3 linked regions of the Caenorhabditis elegans genome follow. The protein of the gene in region 3 purifies or fractionates together with the protein of the main gene of each other region. This does not show direct contact. Each region holds a gene or a part of one and is shown on either strand. Other genes may lie near its edges.

Evidence for each region.
Region 1: the proteins of gls-1 (region 3) and F48F5.6 fractionate together in Caenorhabditis elegans (co-fractionation; one large-scale study listed by BioGRID). This does not show direct contact.
Region 2: the proteins of gls-1 (region 3) and rnp-9 fractionate together in Caenorhabditis elegans (co-fractionation; one large-scale study listed by BioGRID). This does not show direct contact.

Annotation. Positions count from the first base shown.
Region 1 is NC_003283.11:20,446,912-20,452,491, forward strand, and holds F48F5.6 (uncharacterized protein), read right to left. Parts: upstream 3,049-5,580; 5' UTR 3,036-3,048; coding exon 2,839-3,035; intron 1,586-2,838; coding exon 1,471-1,585; 3' UTR 1,364-1,470; downstream 1-1,363.
Region 2 is NC_003284.9:10,165,175-10,172,994, reverse strand, and holds rnp-9 (RRM domain-containing protein), read right to left. Parts: upstream 5,691-7,820; 5' UTR 5,542-5,690; intron 4,952-5,541; 5' UTR 4,943-4,951; coding exon 4,844-4,942; intron 4,793-4,843; coding exon 4,700-4,792; intron 4,556-4,699; coding exon 4,495-4,555; intron 4,017-4,494; coding exon 3,929-4,016; intron 3,602-3,928; coding exon 3,526-3,601; intron 3,448-3,525; coding exon 3,328-3,447; intron 3,282-3,327; coding exon 3,215-3,281; intron 2,060-3,214; coding exon 1,872-2,059; intron 1,818-1,871; coding exon 1,671-1,817; 3' UTR 1,302-1,670; downstream 1-1,301. Other genes in the region: C07A4.2 (SCP domain-containing protein), read right to left, coding at 1-147, 196-295, 344-498, 557-649.
Region 3 is NC_003279.8:8,734,581-8,743,792, reverse strand, and holds gls-1 (Germline survival defective-1), read right to left. Parts: upstream 6,722-9,212; coding exon 6,575-6,721; intron 6,526-6,574; coding exon 6,375-6,525; intron 5,673-6,374; coding exon 5,485-5,672; intron 5,387-5,484; coding exon 5,310-5,386; intron 5,258-5,309; coding exon 5,164-5,257; intron 5,117-5,163; coding exon 4,787-5,116; intron 4,690-4,786; coding exon 4,370-4,689; intron 4,322-4,369; coding exon 4,128-4,321; intron 4,043-4,127; coding exon 3,804-4,042; intron 3,756-3,803; coding exon 3,647-3,755; intron 3,602-3,646; coding exon 3,365-3,601; intron 3,235-3,364; coding exon 3,119-3,234; intron 3,076-3,118; coding exon 2,883-3,075; intron 2,833-2,882; coding exon 2,669-2,832; intron 2,605-2,668; coding exon 2,425-2,604; intron 2,378-2,424; coding exon 2,296-2,377; intron 2,245-2,295; coding exon 2,050-2,244; intron 1,989-2,049; coding exon 1,846-1,988; 3' UTR 1,245-1,845; downstream 1-1,244. Other genes in the region: dhfr-1 (Putative dihydrofolate reductase), read right to left, coding at 6,870-7,020, 7,063-7,215, 7,262-7,392, 7,437-7,571; prp-4 (Pre-mRNA processing factor 4 (PRP4)-like domain-containing protein), read left to right, coding at 8,086-8,172, 8,238-8,390, 8,457-8,594, 8,637-8,916, 8,963-9,130, 9,180-9,212. UniProt on the Caenorhabditis elegans protein: Required maternally for germline survival by forming a maternal complex with gld-3. During hermaphrodite development forms a complex with gld-3 which promotes the sperm/oocyte switch freeing the translational repressor fbf to turn off sperm promoting factors.

The sequences.
Region 1 (5,580 bases), on a different chromosome or scaffold from region 3:
AAGTTCAGAAAAATTCGATAAACTTGGGAAAAATTCAAGGTATAATTTTAAAACATTTGGAAAATTTCTATATTCAAAAATCTTCTAGAAACTTTAAGAAACTTCAAGGAATTTTTGAAAAATTATAGAAACTTTTGGAATACACTCGAAAATCTTCTGGAAAAATAAAGTTTTGAAACTTAAAAATTTTTAAAAATTTGAGCCTGAAAAAAAGTAAGAATTATTACACGGGCACGGGTGGCTGAGTGGTAGTAGCACTGTCATCCAAAAAATCGCAAGTTCAATTCCACCTCAACCCAAAGGCTCACCCATCCGGCTAGGAAATTTACCAGATGAACACACTATGAAATATTTGGAAAAATGTTTTAGTCTATGTACAATGCCATAAAGATTGGAGATGACGAAATTCAAGCCATAATGATGGTAGATAGTTGCTACATAAGCAAACTTGGTACATATTTAATACATACCATTTCTTTGACCATACGCGATAACATCTGGAGATGAACTGGGGATGCCAACTGGCAAGCACAACACGACTTGCACAAGAGGAAGAGGTGAATATAGCGATGCTGTAAAAATTATGGTCCTCGATAAGAAGACGGCGTTTACAAAGAGAGTGACGCCAAGGAGGTGAACGTGTGGAAAGACGCACACCATATAACTGTCTCCTTTCCGCCTACCTCTTCTGCGAGAGTGACCCATCCGAGCACCTAAACAATTTCTGTCATTCATTCTATCTTGATTCATTTTTTGAAAAAAAATATAGAAAAACCAATTAGTTTGGCCTTTAAACGCAAAAATTTCAAAAATGACGTCACAGATTTGCGCGGGATTTTTTTTGAAAAAATCATAAAAAGTTTAGAAAATTAAAATGTTTTTAAATTCGGTATATTGGGACTGTATTCTGTCATTTAGGGCAAAAAAACCCACAGACGCTACTCCACCATTAAAAATTCCTTTAAAAAATTCAGAACTCTTCCCAAAAATTAGAAAAAATTTTGTTAAGAATTCTACAAATATTTTCAAATTTTCTGAAATTTTACACCTTTTCTTGACTTGACTATTATTATTGAAAATTCCTGGGCCTGCTTAAACTTTCATCAAGTTTCTCTAAATTAGTATTAACATTTCTCTAATCATTGACAATTTCCTGAAAGGTTTTTTGATTCTATAAAACATACCGCAATGCTTTTGAGATTTTTGTAATATCATCGAATAATTTTCAAATATTCCCTGAAATTTTTTGAAATGAATTGGAAATTGCGTTTTTGAAATTTTCTCAAATGGCTCTGAAATGCTTTCTGAACTTTTTTGAAATTGATTGGAAATGGCTGAATTTTTTGGAATTCTCTGAGATTTTAGCAAAATAAGCAAATTTATATCCAAAATTTTTTTTCTAGAAACATGTAGCAAATATGATATTTTTTGAACACATAAAAGCATTGGAAAAAGTAAAAAAATCAAAAATTATGAAAGAGTTGGGGTTTGATGAACTGACTCCACTTGAACTGTTGATGAAACAAGATTTGTGTTGCGAGCGTCGATGTAATCCAAATCTGGGCAGTCAATTGATAGGGGTGTTCTGGAAACAAAAAATGGATTCTGGAAGTTTGAAATTTGAAATTTAGAGCTGGAAATCGGAATTTACGTTAAAATTATCCCTAGACCACACTCGGCATCAAACGATATTGTCCATAAAATTTCAAAAAAAGTTTGTTTGAAATAATAAATTTTGACAAAAAAATCAATGTGATTTTGGATCCTAGGTTGCTACATAGTTTCTACAATCCCCCCTAACTATAATTTTCAAAATTTTCAGTGCAAAATGTCGTAAAATCAGGTGTCCCGGGTTACTACTGTACTTGATTTCCTAGAGTTTTGAACAAAGTTTTTGGAACTTAAGAGTTATATGTATTTTGCCACGCGGAGTTCGAATTTCTACTAAAATTTTGAGTATTCGAATTTTTTATAGTTTTCAGAAGTAAAAAATTATAAATTTCAATTCAAAAATACTCTACTGTAGTTTTGTGTCCGGGTTACTGTAGTTTGGTATTTCCCTACCAGACACCAAATTTCAAGTGGGTTTGCACTAAAATTCAGAAATTTTGGGAATAGGTGCAGTTTGTCACGTGGAATCAAAATTTCAAATCAGAATCCAAATATTTTGAAGTTGTCATACTTTTCAACTCTCAAAAGTTTTGAATATATTTTTAAAACTGAAAATTTTGAATTCAGCGCCCATAGATTGCCCTATAAACATAGCTTAAACACCAAAAAAAAAGTATGACCACAGTGCGGACTCGAACCCCGGTCTTCTGATTGGTGGTAATGGAAAATCCTACTGAGACATTTGGGCGAAATTTTGAAAAATTCTGAATTTGTGTAATTTTGGGTCTTTAATGCTATGGGAAAAATATTTCCAAAAAAGGAATTTTCAGTCTTTCAATCTCAATAACTTTTAACTTTGAGTTGAAATTCAATATACTCATTCTAAATCAGGGGTGCAAATTCGGCAAACCGGCAATTTTCCGGTTTGCCGATTTGCGGTCATATTAGGTATTAATATATTTAATTCTATGGGTAAAATATTTCTGAAAATTGAAATTTCAGCTTTTCACTCTTAATCATTTTTAAAATTGAGGCGAAATTCAAAATCCTCACTCTAAATTACCCCTATTCCCCAATTTTAAGGTTTTGGTCTTTTTTTTAATTTCGTGAAATCTAGTATTCTGGATTACTGTAGCTTGATATTTGAGTGCCATACATCAGATTTGACGAGATTTTGCACAAAATAAATTTTCAATTTTCGGTCTAATTTTAGCAATAAAAACTCACTTGTCTCTATGCTGAGTAACCATAACCTGTGGAATATTGCTCAATTTTCTTCGTTTTTCCTTTCGTCTGCAGCAACCACAACTCATTGTGCAGTACATCAAAATTAAGGCGATTAAGGCGAAAAATACGACTGTGGCCGAGAAAATAATGAGCACAAGGTTGAATTCGTCCACGTCCAGCCCATATTCTGGGTACATTGCTTGTGCTGGACTATAAAAAGGTTTTGTGGGCGAATTTGTGAAGAAAATTTTAAAAAGTAGAATAATTGGGATTTAATAGTAAGTTTAAAGAAATACAAAAAAAATTGTGAAAATTTCGATTTTTTTTCAATTTTTATCAACAAAAAAAAAGACTAAAATTAAAGCGTTCAATATTAGTTACAAAAAAAGTTAAAGCATACAAAATCACGAAAAATTCCAAGAATAATGTCTGTGACAATTTCCGGCATTTTCGAAATTTCGCTCAAATGGCTCAGTGGGATTTTCCAGAACTACAAAGCAGAAGACCGGGGTTCGAGTCCACACGGTGGTCGATTTTTTTTTCGTTGCTTGTTAGGTAATAAAAAGTGCTGAATCTGAATTTTAAAGGTTTAAAGCTCAAAAATTGTTAGAAATTGGGATTTCAGACATAGATAATAGCTTAAGTCTGAATCTTGTTAAAATTCGAAATTGTAGGTTTTTTTGCAATTTTTTTAAAATGAAATTTTTACCAAAAAGATTTTGAGCATGCAAAAAAAAATTGAAACTCAAATTTCAAAACTCTGGGAAAAATTGAAACAGCGGAAAAACCCCAAATTTCAAAAAAAATTTCACAAAAAAACGAAGAAAAGTTCCTCCAGTTTAACCTAATAAGATATTTCACCAAAAATGAGTTTGTTCTTCGCTCTTTTTTCGTTTTCTTCTTCCCCATCCAAAAATTTCACCAAAAAAAGAGTGCAAGTCAAAAATGTCATTCAAAGTTGTTTGCAAGAAGCAATTCCCATGAGGTTCAACTAAAAATGTACCGGATTTTACTTGGAACGCACTTGAAAGAAAAATAAAATCGGAAAAAATCAATATTTTTCAATAAAAATAAGTAATTTGGAAAATCTGACAAGCTCAAAGAGCTCAAAACTTGATGAAAATACTTCAAATTTCAAAAATTTGAATTGTATCGTCAAATTAGTCGGATGGCCCAATTTTCAAACGTTAGTGCAAAATTCTGTCAAAATCGGTGTTGGGTACGCAAACACCAAGCTACAGTAACCCAAGAAAATAGATTTGACCACATTTTCCATAGTAATCTTGAAATACTGCGGGCAGGGGTAATTTAGGGCAAGGGTGGGCGGCAAACGATTCCGGCAAATCGGCAAACTGCTGGAATTGCCGATTTGTCGAATTTGCCAGAAAAACGGGGAATGCCGGAAATTTTCTGCAAATTGTGGTTTTGCACATTTTTTTTGGGAATTTCAGATTTTTAATTATAATCGGGAAAAAATTAAAAAGGGCACAGGTTTAAGTGTTTTCGTCTTTTGAAAAAAAAATCCTCTAAACATTCCCCGCAAATCTGATATCCGGCAAACGACAAATTGGCAATTTGCCGGAATTGAAAACTTCCGACAAATCGGCAAACCGGAAAATTGCCGGTTTGCCGAATTCGCACCCCTGATTTAGCATGAGTATATTGAATTTCGACTCAAAGCTAAAAGTTATTGAGATTGAAAGGCTGAAATTTCCTTTTTTTGAAATGTTTTTTCCAATAGAATCAAAGGCCCAAAATTACACAAATTCAGCATTTTTCAAAATTTTGCCCGAATGGCTCAGTAGGATTTTCCACAACCACCAATCAAAAGACCGGGGTTCAAGTCCGCACTGTGGTCAAAGTTTTTTCTTGGTTTTTAAGCTACGTTCATAGGGCATAGGGTAATTGATGGGTCTAAATTCAAAATTTCAAGTTTCAAAGTTCAAAAATGACTTTAAAGTTCGATCTTGACCTCTTAAAATTTAGAAAAAAAAACAGTGGAAGAAAAGAATGGGGAAGAACATTTTGAAATTCTCAGATTACCGCAAACCTTTTTGCCGTCTCTCTGCGTGTGTGTGTATGCCGGCGGTAAGAGGTAAAAATGATCAGCACAAAAAGAGCAAACATTCTCGGGTTCTTCTTGTGCTCCGAGCCTCTTCCCACAACTTTTCCTATTTCTCTATCTCTGTAGTAAAGGTATCACACGGCAGATAGTGTGACAGATTGAGAGATCAAAAACTGGGCAACAGTTGGCTCCGGCTCGGTGAGAAAATCGAGAGAAAATCAGGAGAGATGTCGGCACCCACCTCGAATTTTTAATCACTTTTTTAGTGGTTTTACACATTGCAAAAGACGTGGAAAACTATGGGAAAATAAAAAGTTTTGATGCAAACTCGAACCCCGGTCTTGTGATAGGAAGTTTTGGAAAATCCCACTGAGCCATTCGAATAAAGATTTTCAAAAGTGATGAAAAACGATTTTTAATTGCTTGTAAGCTCAAAAAATTTTAGAATTTAAACTCAGCATCTCGCAATTACTTTACTAACCATTTCAAAACAATGAAAAAAAAGTTTCGACCACAGTGCGGACTCGAACCGCGGCCTTGTGATTGGAAGTTCTGAAAAATCCCACTGAGCCATTTACCCAAAATTTTCCGAAAATGCGTCAAAATTCCAAAAAATAGCGAAAAACTAGTTTACACATGTTTTCTAACTTTATAATTCGAACACAACACACTGAAAT
Region 2 (7,820 bases), on a different chromosome or scaffold from region 3:
AGTCGAGTATGTCAATCTTATTTTCGAGCTTTTATTAGTTTTCAGAATGGCAACACTCTTTGTTGACCTGGCCGGAAGCACTTGATAATCCGGGTAGGTGAGAACAGTGGAACCAATGAACACTTTGACAAACAATTTCTCACCTTGCTGTAACGAAATATTATTTATGAAAAAGTGATCTTTAAAAAAATTTACTTCATTGTCTATTTTTGCGTTGATACAAAAACCGGTGCCACAGTTTCTTGAGGAAGAGAAGAATTTCGCTTGTGGAATAGAATCATCTAGTTTTTTTCCTCTGAAAAATTAACGTTATTTAATTACCTAAAGTATTGTATTAAAGTACTTTTGAGCGTCTGAGCAAACACATTCGCTGACTTTAAAGTTTCTTTCAGTAAATGTTGATGGACATGTGCAAAACTGGAAGTAATAGAATTGATTTTCGACTCCACGAATTTCATTTCTTCTGATTCCTGTGTATTCCTTTACTGACACGGTGATCTGAAAAGATGAACGTAGTGAAAGTAAAGATATATCATTAAGTTCTATTATCCCTTACGCTTTTTGCATCAGTGGTCGGTATTTGGAAAAAGAGAAGTGAAAAAAGAGCGAGTGATAAGGACAGTGACATATGGGCCTGAATGATAGACATGCGCCAAGTTTGAATAGGACACTAGCAGTGATTTTTCGGAATCGATGGGTCTCCCGGGGGTGGGCGGGCAAAGTAGGATATCAATGACCTTGTCAGGAGGAGGCAGCAGTAGTAGTAGAAGATTACAGAATGGTATAGTGGTAGACCACAGTGATTTGTGAAATCAGTATGCTGTATAGTTAAGATACAGTCACTTTATATCTGATAGTTGGTAGCAGACATACAGACTCTTATGACGCATGAAATAATGGGTGGGCCCCTAGAAGGACATTGTACTTTGAAAATTTAATTTCAATTTTATTCGACAATGCAAAGTATCAGGTTTTTGGTTTTTGGAATACCACTTTGCTGACCCTAACAAAAATGAGTGTAGGTGGACACATTATTCAAATCATGAGATCACCGGAAAACATCTTGAAAGTGCAGACACGTGTAAAATGAACAATAGTTTTGAAACTTTTTCTTAGTAATTTGGAATTGAAATTTTCTGAAAAAAAAATTTCGCAAATAATCTAAAAGTGTTGTCAAGCAGATAAATTGTTACGTGAACATTCTTAGTCATGATGATTTGAAACATTAATAGCATAATGCTTTAGTTCTCTCTATGTTTCTCTATCCTTCCCACACATACACAGCTTTTGAACTTTCATTCAATTATCCCATTGTAATAATTTATTAAAATCCCTTTGCACAAACAAAAATGATTATCATTCTGTGAAAAATGTGAAAATATGAATAGCAGGAAAATGACAGAAAAGAAGTAAAAAGAACCACTCAGGAAACATCAGACGGGAAGAAAAGTTAAAAATGAACAAGAAAAAATGTACTCGGACCTCTATTTGTAGGAAGAAAACTGTGATGGAAAATGAAACACCGGAAACTCGAAAAAAGAAAAAAAAACATTGAATCACTCACAAAAAAGCGGAAATTTAAATATTTTGAAATTTGAAAAAGTAACCGTGTTCTGACTCATTATTCCTTTTGCGTTTCATTTTCTTCCTAAAGAGTCTTAATAAATTAATCACCATTGTGGGAAGGAACTGTACAAAAGAGTGGCTGGCTCGTAGTTCAAGAAGGGATTTTGAATTAGTGGGATTGTAGTTGGAAGCATTGTAGGCATCATCAAGGATGACAAATCAATTGGGAGAGGATTTAATGCTTGATTAGGCTGCAAATTAAATACTGTGATTTTCAAAGCATTTGATAACTGATTATTTATTACCACTGCCTGAGTTCTTCCCCAGGAACATCTGACTTGATTTCCAGCCATCTCCTTTCCATTCATCTCCATTATTGCTTTTGTGGCACACTCTTTTTTCTCATATCTGACGAACGCGTACCTTTGGGTTTTGAAAATACGCACTTCCGCTATATCACCATATGTTGAGAATAAATCGCGGAGATCAGCGTCTATAAAAATATGTACATAGATATAACATATGGCAGTGATAGGATAAAAGGCAGAAAGTCATTTATCAAATTTCATGGGACGTTCTCACTGTCTACCAGGCGGAAGTGTCAAGCAGTAGGATGTGATGAGGAAAAATGATGATAGCCTCATATCCGTTAGAAAGTTTGTTAATGAGATAAAGACATGGAACTGGTTTACTCTGTTAATAAACTATGGGAAAGTTACCGAATAAGGCCATTCGAGAAATTGAAATGATCTTTTAATGGTTTTATGTTTTGTCAACAACTACAGTGTCTTAATTTGATTGTAAACATTAAAAAATGCCTGCAAAAATACCATTTTAACCAGTACAAGTAAAATGTATCAGATAGAGCATTAACTTTTTAAAACTATTGCTATTAATTTGTTCAAAGATGTATCATAGATGTGCATTGCGAAATTAGCAAAATTAAAATTACAACGCCTGTCAACTTACTTCTTAAAAATCAGTTTGTATTATCCAAATGCTCAATAACACTAGTTTACTTTAAAAAATTAAATTTCACGGAAAACCTATATCAAAAATATTAGTATGATTTGGAAAAATTCTAAAAAAAATAAACGTTTCAATTAAGTTTCCAATATTATTTGTCAAATAAAATTTATAACAATTATAAACTTCGATGTTTCACTGCGGAGTAGAGCCAATGGGGAAATTGCTTTGAAACATGCATATGGAACCACAATGACGAAATATTTCAGTAAAAGTATTTTTTTTAATTTGTAAAATTACTTTTTTCGTTTGATTGCGTAGTTTTCTATAAAAGTGCGTAGTTTTCTATAAAAGTGACTTAAAGCGATCGCGAACTGCCAATAAAAAATTTTCAAAACAATTTTTGGAAAGTTTTACTATTTTTTTGGCCATAATATTTGGCCATTTAGTCCCCATGGAACTGGTTTTTAGCAATTTACCCACTAGCGCTACTACAACTTTCACCATTGGTTACCGGAGCAGTATACGGTCTCTCTATTAATGCAAATTTCCCAATTCTTTAAATTTCAGAAGAAACTATAGATGTAATTCTAAAGATTGTTTTCTTTATTTCAAAAACTTAAACTCTATTTATTTCCTTTTTAATGACTGATATGAAGTACACTGTCTACCTATAACTAACCTGTAGTCTGTTGACTTATGTTCCCAACATAAACTGACGTGTTATCGGCTTTCGTTGAGTTGAACACCTGGAGCTGTCATGTTTTATTGAGATTTAACGTTACAACATCTCACCTGTTCAAAAGTCAGCTTGTCGCGATTCTCCTCGCTGTTTTTTCGTGCCGCCCAGTTGGTCCGCACAGCTCGTTTCCCAATCCATTTTCCGTTCATTCCGGCTATCGCGTTCTCTGCATTCTAAAAACAAGGCTCAGTTTTCTCGACGAAAATAAATAGGACCAATGGGCTTCGTAAAAAAAACAGAGAGAAACTAACTTGTTTGTTGGGAAATGACACAAATCCGTATCCTTTTGATTTCTGAGTCTGAACATCTCGAATCACTTTAGCTTCACTGAAAAAAATACTTCCGCGGTATAAATGTCAAGATTGGGTAAAAAATCTAACAATGGTTGGAGAATATTGCTTTCAGTTTTGCTCAATATTTTGTCATAAAATTTATTAAATTTCGGTTTGGGAATGATGATATTTTTTTGCCAAGTACGGTTTCGATATACTCTTTTAAAAATTTTTATGGAAAATTGCTAGTTACTCAAAAAAATAAGTTATGTAAGTTTTTTTAAATCCAAATGACGAGGGTGTTGTTTGTTTTTTGATTCGAACTCTTTTGTATAGTGTTAACGTGTTCAAGCAAAATTAAGTATTTTATCCTCAAATTTACCTGACTTCTCCGAATTTTGTAAACGTTGATTTTAAAAGCTCATTGCTCACGTCCTTGCTCAAATCCCCGACAAAAACATGAAAATGCTCTGAAAAGAAGCAAAGAAATGATATTGCATTGCTAATCTTCTTCTTTTTTAGTGCTGGCACGCATGGTTTCATTTCATCTCATCTTGGTCGTCAGTTTCATATTTTCCAATTCTTGACCACGGAACATAAAAAACGATAAAAAACGTGTGACTTTCAAGAAAAACGGTTAGCAGCTATGAGGCTAAACAACCTCGAATTGTCTGATAAGGGTGATAAGAACAACCAAAGAATACAATAACACCCAGAACGGTTTTGAAAAAAAAAAGTGAATCCGTCTGTGTGATTGATAAGGTCAATCAAATGACTTATCTTTATCTTCTTTTTTTGGTCTCATATTTTTTCACAGCTATTTTGACTTATGACCTGACACCAATACGGCGCCAGAAAAGTAATTGAAAAATAAAGATTGATAGGATCTTTGATTCAAACAAATTCATTTTTCACACTTTTCATCCAAATCTGCAAATCTACACTCACTGCTTGTATCAATTCGCATCTCCATCGGCGGCTCCGAGGCTGAGTGCAACACGGCTGATTCCTGCAACACAATTGCATTTGCCAAATGAGAATCCGTACTAGTTGAATGTATTTCGATCGGACAAAAAGATTGGCGCGAGAGGAAAGGGTAACTAAAGGGGGAAAGAAGGGTGCGAAATAAGCGGAAATGGGCAAATGAACAAACCAAAGAGTGTGGAAGACCGATGTGTGACAAAGAAGGAAGGCTGGCGGTCTGGAGAAGCAGAGGACATGTGTCCAAGGATTGAATCGACTGTGTCTGAACACAGGTATATGAATTATTGAGTTGCACAATATCCGATCAACCTACGTCTAATAAACCTGCCGGGAACTGCGAGTATAGGTTTTTCATAGGCATTTGTTGAGAGTAAAGCAAGGATGTCTGAGGAGTCGCAGTTGGTAAGCACATGAGTGCTTTCTGCAAGGACTGTTTTAAACATTTCTGTGTTTTGACAAAGTTCAATTTTTCAGAAAGAATCAATATGAAAGACTAATCTAGAAAGAATAATCTCAAAATTGCACGTGATTGCTTCTAAAAAATCGTTCGAAACATATCAGTTAACCTGTGAATTCAGACAATATGTAATAAAACTTAGTTTTGGGAAGCTTGTTTTAACTAAAAGTGTTGTTTTTTCTCTGCTTAACATTTGGAAAAGCAACAACTTAAATATTTCTGACAACTTGAGAAAATCAATTGTTGAACATACTTAACAACGTTCACGTCACTATTTCTACAGAAACCAGATGCATTATCCATTTGTATTTATTTAGAATTGTAAACCACCTTTCTTTTTTATGATTGATCAGATTGTGTTCCTTTTCTTTGCCAGGAAAATTACTGACGGGAATGTGGCAATTAAAAAATCTATTGCAAATTTGCATTACCTATTATGAGCAAAAAAAGGGAATAACAATTACATGGCTTATTACAAGCACATGCTAATGTTCTTGTACTGCCCTCGGTTTTAGTACCAACGAATTGCTTTCAATTTCTAAAAAGTCACCTACCTTCGCCTGCTGAGCCGAACCATATTCGGCTTCGTGTACGGAGATGAGGTCCTGTGATCGTTTCAGCTTGAATTGTGTACTAACACCACTGTGGTGTTCCAGGACTTGTTTAAATGTGAGAAGAATGCAAATGTTCCTGGAAAAACGCTGTGAATCGGATTAGCATTCCCATTGAAAAATAAGAGCAAAAACAGAGCCAAGAGATTTGTTTTCAAATCCCTCGCGAAACTAACAAGGTAACTAAACTGTGATAATGGATTATCGATAAATGGAAAAATGTGGCAAGGAATATAACCGGAAAATGAGTCAAAAAATAAAAAAGTAGAAGGAGGAAGAAGGTGCAATATTCATTTTTCATGGCCGAGCATCTTCTTGTAGCAGAGTGATGTGCTCCGCCTTGTCCCAAGGGGAATTGGGTGGAGAACTAATTAAGAAAGTCGAAAACAATAGAATATATTGAGGTGTAGACTATGTCGGAAACAAGAAAAATGCGAATAAGAGGATGGAAAGGAAGGGAAGGAAAAAATGTGCAACAAACTTGGGAGCTAAGACCGGACTCCACATTTAACCCATCCAGTGTTGTTTCTCACGATGGGCTCAAGAGCGGAACGTCGTTTCATTCTTGTGATTTTACCATCCATTCCCACCAGATTTGAGATTTACCGAGTGCCCACCCCTTGTGACCTCCTTTTATTCTTCTCATCTAGCTTGAGCACCTTTCCTTTCCTTTGACTTTTTTATACGTTGTCATTCTTCATGTAAGAGAGCTCAGGATTCTTCCATTTTCATTTTCCTATTCATCTAGTAGTAGTCCATTAGTCTCACTCGAAAAATGAGCAACGAATGCACTAGAGGGTTCGTGTGGCTGAATAGCGGTAATACGCAAAATGGAATAAACAAATGATATTTGAGAGAGGCATGGGCCCCATAAAAAAAGGCGGAAAATGTCTTCAACTGTGAGAATAGGGTCTCGCACCAAATCGAGACACCTAAATTCATAGATTCATGCATCTGAAAGAGCTTTTAGCAGAAGGCAAAAAAAATAGACAACGGTGGACACGAACAAAGAATGTTTTAATGCTTGTGAATAGGGAGGAATAGACAGTGTGCACGGAGTCAGCCGAGAGGAAATAAAAATGTTCCTTTTTTGAACAATAACAATCAGATTCGTATTGGAAAGGAAGACGAACAACAAATCGATACAACCACCAGTTTATTAGGTGAAGAACATTACAAATAGGAGAAAAAGAGTTTCACAGTGACAGACGTGAAGACCGTAATTTTTCGAATCGCTTAAGCTTAATAGTAGTTAAAAGCAGGTAGCTAAAAATGTTAGTCCATTGACTTTTTCAAAGATAAAAACTTTAGCGCAAATGAAGCACGTTTCTTGTTAATGTGTTTTCAGGATTAAAATGTTAAACAAGAATATCAACTTCAAAATCGATTTGTAATCAATAAAGTTTACAATTATAATATTTTATTCTTATATCAAAACTTCAGGAAATGATACTTCAAGATTGAAAATCCGCCTTGATGGCGTATTCCAAAAAGGGAATAGATTTTTGGGAAACGAGCGGCATTTTTGTCACGAAGATCAATGATTAAAAACAATAAGATGACTCAATCTGTAAACGACCAACATTTTCTGATTTGTATAAATTACATACAAACAAAAAAATTAATTATTAAAATTACTTGAATCAAATGTATCCTTAAATGGTTGAACATTCTGAAGCAGTATGTATTTGTGTACTATATCCTTAAATTTTGAAAAAAAAGTATGTTTCCATTTATACGTTAATTAAGCATTATTTGGAAACAAATCTTTTCAAAAAATTAAACTTCTAATTTAAAGAAGTCTTATCAATTTGAAAAAAAGGGTAAAACCAAATAGCAGAATGAGCAAGAGCAAACTGACCAGTTTACACCTTCAAATGTTTATTTTATTCAATCGCAAATATCAATCTGTATACCATGCAATGTGTTGATATAAACTATGGAAAAGTGTAAAAAAGGGAGAAGGCATGGCTCTTGATTAGTCAGTTTTCATAAATTGTTTTCTAAATTTATTGAAAAAGAGCATGTCCATTTTCTATATACTGTTCCCTAAGACTTTAAGTTTGATCGTTCGATCGTGGACTTGATCTAGTTTTTTATTGGTATTGGAATGAATTTATGATTAAACAAATGTGCATTAGGGAAACATAACTAAAAAGTAAAAGTCAAAAGACTCAATGGCCATTGGTAATTGAATATGAATTTTTCGGGGGTCAACAAAT
Region 3 (9,212 bases):
ATTTTTGAACTTTTATTGAACATTCGAATAATTTTTGATTTTTCACAATTTTTTCTGGATACATTATTTTGCTGGAAAACTAAATTGAAACTTAAAAAAAAGAAAATAATACAGCAATAAAACGTTGAAAATTCGAAGAACATTACCAAAAACGATGGCTGGATTACTGTAGGTATGAAAGACGCACGCCTTTTTGAAAATGAATTTTGTTCGTCGCGAGAGTAGGTACAGTCTTTTTGACTAAAAATTTTAAAGTTGACGCAATTAGGTAATCTATTTAAATTTTATTGAAAATAAATTGGGCATTATAATTTGAACATAACTAGTTTGGCAATTCCAAAAAAAAATTTCAGCCGAACCAAGCCAAATGGGCAAAAATAGATTTCGCGGATGCATATATCAATATCGCCAACTTCAACAAAAACACTACGGATCGAATTCGTCCAAAAATATCGATTTTTCACTTTAATTCTCAATCTCTTCGAGTAATTTGAGTTTTCAACATTTTTATCATGTTTCGTGTTCTTGCTCAACATTTTAATTTTCCTCAAATCATATTGATCAGATATGTACATATTAAAAATATTATTGTTTCTTGATTAAAATCTAAATTTAATGGTGCATTGACACGATATACAAATGTGCCTTTAAACTAATTTTTTATTAAATTCAATAATATTTATATAATGTCAAATCATCCAAAAATCATCAATTCTTTCACACAGTGTCTTCCAAGCTTTGCAATATATTCAAATTTGTCTGTAACTTTCTGAAATTTGCCTATTTTCCAATTGTTCATCAAGCCTTTTCATCCTCAGGATCATCTGATTTTTCTTTTTTTACCTTTACTTCCCGAACCCTCATCCAAAATTGTCATTTCCTGCCATTTTCAGTTTTCAATCGATTCTAGAAAAGTGTCCATCGGGAACATGACGTAACAAGGTCCATTCATTTTTTTTTCTGAAACAACTTACTCCATTTCTAAATAATCTTCGAAAGTGGTGATTTTAATAATTCATTCCGTGGTTTCAATTTGTAAAATCCCGATTATAATTAATTCCAAATGCATTTTCTTAGTTGTCGCATACTTTAAAAACTGTTCAATTATTTCATTTGTATTTCATTTTTAAAAATGTGTAAAATTTTATGTTAGTGTGAGTCATCATTTCACGAAGCGATTCTCGAATTTTTTGTATCCCAAATGTTGTGTTTTTCTCCTCTATCAGCATAAAGTTTTGTAAATATTTTTTTAGTTCCACCGTTCATTTCGCACCTAAGAAACAATTAAAATAATTGGGAAAATGAAAGAAAATTTAGAGGGAAGAGAGAGGGAGAGAGAGATAGGGTTACAAAAAAAACAAGAAATCAACGATATTATTCTTGAAGGTGGAAGACGGGGTGGTCAAAAAGATATATGTATATATAAACAAAAATATGTATAAATTAAAAAAGTGAATACCTAAACGAAAGAGAGAAATGACCAGCATTTTGAAATATAGAAAACAGAAAAAATTGAATAAAACTAATCAGGTGGTCTTGGCTTGTGAATTATGAAGAGAAAGAGAACGTTTTTCGAGACTTCAGTGATAATTTGTTATAGTTTAAACGAAGTTGTACCACGTGTACGTACCTAACGAGAAAATGTCGCTTTAAGGATGATGATGGCAATCGGGATGTGATGGATCAGAGAAATTCAATAATACACGTGTCGATGAAAATTAAAATGTGTGAGCGTTAAACATAAACAATGAAAAAAAAATTGGGTGAAAGAAAGAACAAAAAAAGAAGAAAACTATTACGAAATCACAAGAATTGATATAAAAAGGAGCAGCAATTCAGCATCTCTCAGAAATTCGAATTCTGGTTCCCGCCCCCACTGTTTCCGTTGACTCCACCAGTATTATTTGAGTTTTGTACAGTTCCCTGGGCATGATAGTATGCTATCGGAATTTGCGGTTCATATGTTCCGTTTGCACGAAATTGTCCACCTGAGAAATTATTGTGTCATGTTGAATCAATTATTCTAATTTTTAAAAGTTTAATACATACCATTATGGAATATAGTATTCTGAATTATGTGCTGTTGTTGATGATGATTGAAGTGATTTGATCCTAACATTGCTTGCGGATTTTCAATGTATACTGCATGGGGGAGGTTTGCATGAATTGGAGCGTATGAATTGGAAGAGGAAGTTCCACCATTTTGCTGAGAACCTTCCCCGTCTGAACGAGTTCTATGATCACCTTAATAATTGATTATTCTCATTATTGCCATCTAATTCAACTTGTACATGCCTTTCTTCGATAACAATGTTTGTTTTTCACAGTGTTTCGGAGCGTGAGGACCGCCACAATTAGAGCAACTTGGGAACAGCGTCTAGAAATTGAAAATTTCTCAGATTTTACGAAAATTCGAAATCAAACCTGCACTTGTGTTTGCGGGATATTTGAATAAAGGAATGGTTGCATATTGACAGGCAATTCAATCGGGTCAATGCTTCCTGTTGCATTTCGTTTGAAGTAACGAACTGGAGATTTGGCACGTGGATTCTTCCATCGAGAATATATTAATCCATCCGATGCTTCGCGAGTTTCCTGCAATAGCTTTATTTCGGAATAGATTCGTTCTTTTCAATCAATCTAGAAATGAACAGTATCAGAAACTAACATCTTCTGTTTTCGCTCTGGTACCGTTGAACTCTTCACATATTACAGCTGACAGCATCATTCTAGCTGGCAAGTCAGAAAGTTCATTGATGTATTGAACATATTGAGCTGGAGTCGCATCACGAGCAAGACGTGGAACAATACGCTCTCCGTTTGGAGCAAACGCTGCAAAAATAAAAATTGTAAATTAGAGACTATAAATTGAAAATACATACTCTCCATTGTAGATGTGCTCGCTGAAAGCTTTTTGTTATCATCGTCAAATGAAGAGTAGGATGTAGTGCATCCTTGATGAAGATATTTTTCACTTCTCTGTTGTCCGAACTCATCAAGAAGACGATGCTGTAGAGCTTTCAATTGATCACGAGATCTTTGAGCAAATGTTCTGTCACCATCACTCCAATGAATCTGAAAACCTTTATGATTTCAGAAACTTCAGGTTGCGTGTTACCTCCAGGCTGAAAAGATTATCGTTCTTCTCAATTTGTCGTCCAATAAATCGAATGATAAAGAATGTTCCCGGAACTGATGGCGACGGCTGAACTGGATTACTCTCGAAACGCGAACCTGAAAAAAAGATGCGGAATGTTATCAGTGATTTAGTTGGAATGTTCCGAACTCAATTCATCGACTAATTATCGAAAAATTTCTAGAAATGCATGTGAAAAATTCTGTTAAATATTAATTAATTGCTTACCCATAACACCTGATAGTGGCTCAAATTCTTCCTCTGATTCATGGTCGGAATCAGTATCATTCTCATCGCCAACAGCTTGTGATGATGGTACAACAAGATTGCTTTGCTCCAACTGTTTCTGAGTTGTGTAGTATTGTCTAAACAATGTTTCTATTTGAGCACGTAATCCGTCCCGCAGAGCCGCATATTTCATTTTGTCATCAAGAGTAATTGCTGGGTGATGAGTCATGGCTGCGACTGAAACAAAAAAGTATACTCCAAAACACGGAAATGAAGACTTACCAATTTTACCGATTTCTTGTAAAACGGTAATTTTATCAAGTTCATCCGGAATACGTTCGAGTATTTGGCTCTTTTCTCTCAGAATAACATTTTGAACATAGTCAGAGATCTTTAAATAAATCGATTAAATACCATCTAAAGTCGTATTCTGATTCACCTTAGCAGCTGATTTTCTATTTGTTGATGAACAAACTGCCATGAGAGTGTATATGTAACTGGTAAGATCGAGAACAGATTTGAGAAACAATTCTGGTTCTTGAGGGACCGGTGGTACCGACTGTGGTACAGTCACTGAAGTTGGATGTGCAGGGTTTGCTGCTGTGGTGGAGATGTGATTAGAACCGGGCTCCGGTTCTGGTGATGTTGTATTAGATTGGTTGATATTGCCGCTCGAACCTGAAAAATGTTGCGAATTTGAGAGGGAAATTGTGTTGTAAAATACATTTTTTAACTGTGTCAAATAATGATGAAGATTTTTTACCTCTTGCAGTATTTGGTTTGGAATCTAGCTGTTGTCTATCTGATGGAATATTATTGCTTATTCCGTTCACACTACTTGATAGCACAACTGGTACATTGTTAACATCCTTATTTGCAACGGAAACTGATGATGAAGGTGTCGTACAAGAGGTTGAATGATGAAAGTTAGCATCAGGTGGATACATAATATTCTGCCTGAAATAAAAAATTTTTAAATTATAATTCACCGACAATAATGCATACATTCCGCCTAATAACGGTGGAAGACCAGGTGGATGTTGCTGTACAAAAACCGAGTTAACTGCATTTCTTGTTTGATACAGGGCAGCATCCGCAATACCAGGAAAATAATAAACTTGTTGCGGTGGAGGTGGAGGAGAGCAAACGAATTGAGGTAAACCAGCTGTTGGATCCGAACAGTTTGAAGTCTTTTCTACTGGCCGCATTTGATTGTTATAGCAACGAACAGATCCTTCGATACAATTTCCAAGCAGGCGAAGATCGGTTGGAGACAGGAAAGAAACAAGTTCACACATAAACTCCACCTTATCCCATTCATCGTGCTGCAATCCAAACTACGTTTTGAAAACTAATAACTTTTTAAAAATTTTGTTTGAATAAAAATGATAAATACTAAAATGTCTTGTATTTATGAATCACCTCTTTGAATGCCATCACAGAATCCATATTTTTCGGATCAGTGCTCTTATATGGCATCGGCTCTTCATCACGCTTGATTTTTGGTTTTTCCTTCTTCTTTTTTGCTTCTTCGACTGGTGGATCTGTTTGAACTATTTTGGATTCTTGAAAGATGGGAATAGCAGTCGGAGTTGTGCTCACTGGAGGAGCAGAAGACGCTGATATTTGTCCCGCAGAGGATAGGGAAGAATTTGACAGAAATCCAGAAGATTTAGCATTTTCCAACGAGTGATAATTATTGTGGTTATGTGTGTAGCCACCTCGATAACTTTGGTTCGAATGATCACGATTCTTAACATTAAAATTAATTTTTATCGTAATTATACGTTTATACAAACCTTATTCTTTCGGTTCTGCTGATTTCCGCTAACATGGTTTGAATGATGATGATTATGGTTAACCTGACTTTGCCTATTACCACTGTGAGTGTTTCTGAACGAGCAAAAGCTAAGGATTTGTTTTAACTAGTTACTGATTTAATTACTTCTCCTTTTCCTTCGGCCGATCTTTATTTGTGGTTCCTTTGAAAGCACCCGATTGTGAATTAGCAGTGTTGCTTGTCTGCAAGTGAATCATAAACAGGTTGAGAAAACATGTGTTTTAAAATATGAAATAATTATGCACGATAGACTCAGTCGAATTTATCTTCGCCTACTTACCTTCTCAAGCTCGTTGTGCCCAGCCTTTTTGGCAGGAAATTTAGAAATTCCAGTTTGCTGTGACGTTGAAGAAGTCGATGAAAGTCTTTGATGTGAATATTGATTTTGAGATTGACTCTGCTGTGAAGAAGGTACTGTAGTGGTCGTAGTGGTAGTTGAGGTGATGGACGATGTAGACGTCGAAGCGTCTGAAATGAATATAAATAAATTCTATGAATCTTGAGAGTTGAATTTTCTTTAAATTTACATTGTTGCTTACCGCATTTTAGAGACCCTTTATGTTTCATTTTAACGTTTTCTTGAGAATTTTGTTGAAGTATTCCAAAATCAGAAGAGAATACATAGAAATAATAGGACATTGAATATATATATATATATATATATATATAAATCAAATTCTAAAATTAAATCAATAAATATGAAATGATTAATATAGACGTTCCAATCTAATTGTTAAAATTTAGATGCTAGAAAAGTCATTGCTTATCACTCATCACATCAATAGGGAAATCAAATGTAATAGTTTGGGTTATAATAAATAAATCGACTTTCGCACCTTGATGCTTATTGAAAAGAGAAGAGGAAGAGATGGAAAAGGGGCATCGTGCCTGTGTTGGTGGCCTCTTTCTCTTTTTTATTTTTATTATATATGTTTGCCCTCCTCGGTTCTGTACTCGTCTATTCACTTTCTTTCTTTTCTTCGGGGTCATTTTTTAAGCACAGATTGTGAAGACCAAGGTCTCCAAAATCTCGATTTAAATGAACCATTGGAAATTAAGACACAAAATTTTGAATTAATTTGCAATTGCTGCAAGAAAATTCTAAAACCTATTTAGGAACAGCCGTCCTTGTTATTTCAAAACAGATTTGTGAGAAACGTGTATACGTACTATTGCTGGAAGTGTTATCGTTGGTGACGCTATGACTGGAATTGGAATTTTGTCCAATTTGTGATGAATTCTGAGTTGTTGCAGCGGCAGTTGCTGTTGCGTTATTCCCGTTCATCGTTGACCCGTCTGTACTTTTCTTTTGCTGATGGTTCTGAAACTAGGGAAAAATATGTCGAATTTCACTATCTTTATCAACACACCTTTTTATTGGCCATACTTTTCATCAAAATACCAGTTAACCGAGACTTCTTACGCTTTTCTTGAAGAGTTAAAGCTGTGACGTCTGAACGGATAAATTTTAAAAAAATAAGGAAGGAATGAAATAAATAAGATATCAAACATCGCATACTTACGATGAATTACAAAAAGTTAATAGTAATAAGAATCATGTACAGATTTTATATTTACACGTGAAAATTGTGGGCTGCCCGAGTAAACAACAGGTGAATGAATACATATAAATTAAAAAAATAAACAGCAATTTCAAAAAAAAATTCAGTGGTTCTCGACAACCTTCCATTTGCAAAATTCGAACTTTAATCCATTTTCTTCGAAAATTTCTGAATTTTCCGATGACACCTCGGCATTTTGAACTTTCTCCATTTTACTGAAATCGAGTGACTTGAGATGAACATCGGCTTCGAAGCTGAAATTACGACAGAGTAAAAAAACTGTGCAAGCACCCTACTTTTTGAAAATACGTGTCAAGTGAATTTCATCAACCAAGTTTTCTCGCAACGCAAGATCATAGATTTCAGCTCCACCGATATTCCAGATTGTTTCGATCGAATCCACAAATGGTGGCTCCGAAAGTAGTTTCATAGCCGCTTCGAGCGAGTTTCTGAATGTAACAACAACAGGTTAAATATTATTTCATGACAGCTTACACAACAATGTAGTCATCGGACTTTTGCGCAGGAAGTTGTCGGCTCAAAACAATGTTTAGCCGTCCTGCCAACGGGCGGCGAGTTACTGGAATGCTTTCCCAGCATTTTCGTCCCATGAGAACTGCATTTCTCTACAAAAGTTATGTTACAAGTTTAGTTAGAAATCTCGAACAACCTTCGACTGATCAGAAACATTTTTGGTAACAGACGCGAAATACTGCATGTCTTTCTTGATTCGCCATGGCAACACGCCATTTTTGCCAATTCCTCCTTCGGCATCCATAGCCACTATTAAGTTCATTTTTCTCATTTTTAATGCCTAGAAATAGAAAATAACTCGATTGAGATACCAGAGAAAATTTTAAAAACGGGTAATGAGAACTTTGCACAGCAAAACGAAGCACATTTGAAATACGCTTCCATTCGACTTCGTATCGACTGAAATCTTCAAACAATACAGATTTCGAAGATAAAGATAATGAATCGTGGGAAAATCAATAAAAATAGATAATCAAAAAAAAATGAGGGTGAAAATGAATCGAGAAGAAGTGAGAGAACCTCAGATTTCTTCAAATTATCATTAGAGCGCGATTACTGGTTCCCACTTTCGAAGAATTTTCACCGCTTTTTTTGAACTTTTATGCCATTTTCTTTCCTTTGTTCACTTTAAAATGTTTTAAACTTCACAACTAAATATAATAAATTATAATAAAACTACAAGCCCATTCCTATGTCTCACATCTTCGTTCTGAATGTCCTAATATATAACTTCATATTCTTTACAGTGGTTTTTAAAGTAATTAAATTTTTTAAGAGCACACAAAATGGCTGAAAATGGCAATTTTGCTGTTCCAGCACCGCCAAGACAGTTTGGATCACTGGCGAATGCAGAAAGCGTGAATGCAATCTTGGTATGTTTTTTTTCATGAATTCTTTGACTATGTTATTTTTTCTGAATTTTAATTTAAAATTTCAGAATGCACAACAGCAAAACCATGGACCCACAGTGTCTTTGGAACGAATGGAAGTATCAAATCAAGCAGATTCACGCCACGATGCTGAAATGTTTGCAGAATTTGATAGAAGACGGAGAGCAAGAACTCTCACATTGCCAACAGATGATGTTCAGGTACAGTTTTGATACATATGAATAAAATTTTTTTAATAACTACCCACTTGAAGATATATTTTAAAGGTAAAACTGAAACTTCGTGCTCTAAACCAACCAATTTGTTTGTTCGGAGAAGATGCATTGGATAGAAGAGAAAGACTTAGAGCTCTACTTTCAACAATGTCTGAAGATGAAATTGCAGCCGTTTTGCATACTGATGAAGTAAGTTTTTCAATGTTTGAAAAATTATTTAAAAATTTGAAGGTGAATGCTGATAAAGCAGACGAAGAAACCGTTACTTGGTATCATCGTGGTCCGATTGAACTTCGGATGGCACGCGTTTCAATCGCTGATTTTTCTCTAAGAAAAGCTAAATTAAGACTTGACAAAGCTCGAGAAGAAGCTGCTCGCCCTGCTCACGAAAAAGCTTTGGCTCGTCAAGAAGCTCACAAATGGGTTCAACAAATCAATCTTCATGCTTCTCAAGTTGCAGACACACGCCCTGTGGCTTTTTGTGAATTTTCAGCAGATTCTGAACATATTGGTTTGTTTTTTCTAAGTAGAACTTTCCAACTAATCAAAAACTTCAGTTACCGCTGGCTGGTCCGGATCAGTGGCAGTTTGGAAGCGAGAACAATGTGCTCAAGAAATTAAATTTATTGGACATTCATCTCAAGCAGGGTGTGCACGTTTTCATCCCGGTGCATTTACTCAGAATGATTATTCTTCTTTGAATGTGGTTTCGTGTTCGTATGATGGTAAATATAACTGATTTTTGCTCAATTTTCTCAAAATTCGTGATTTCAGGAACCGTTCTTCTATGGTCGCTAAGCCAGGAAT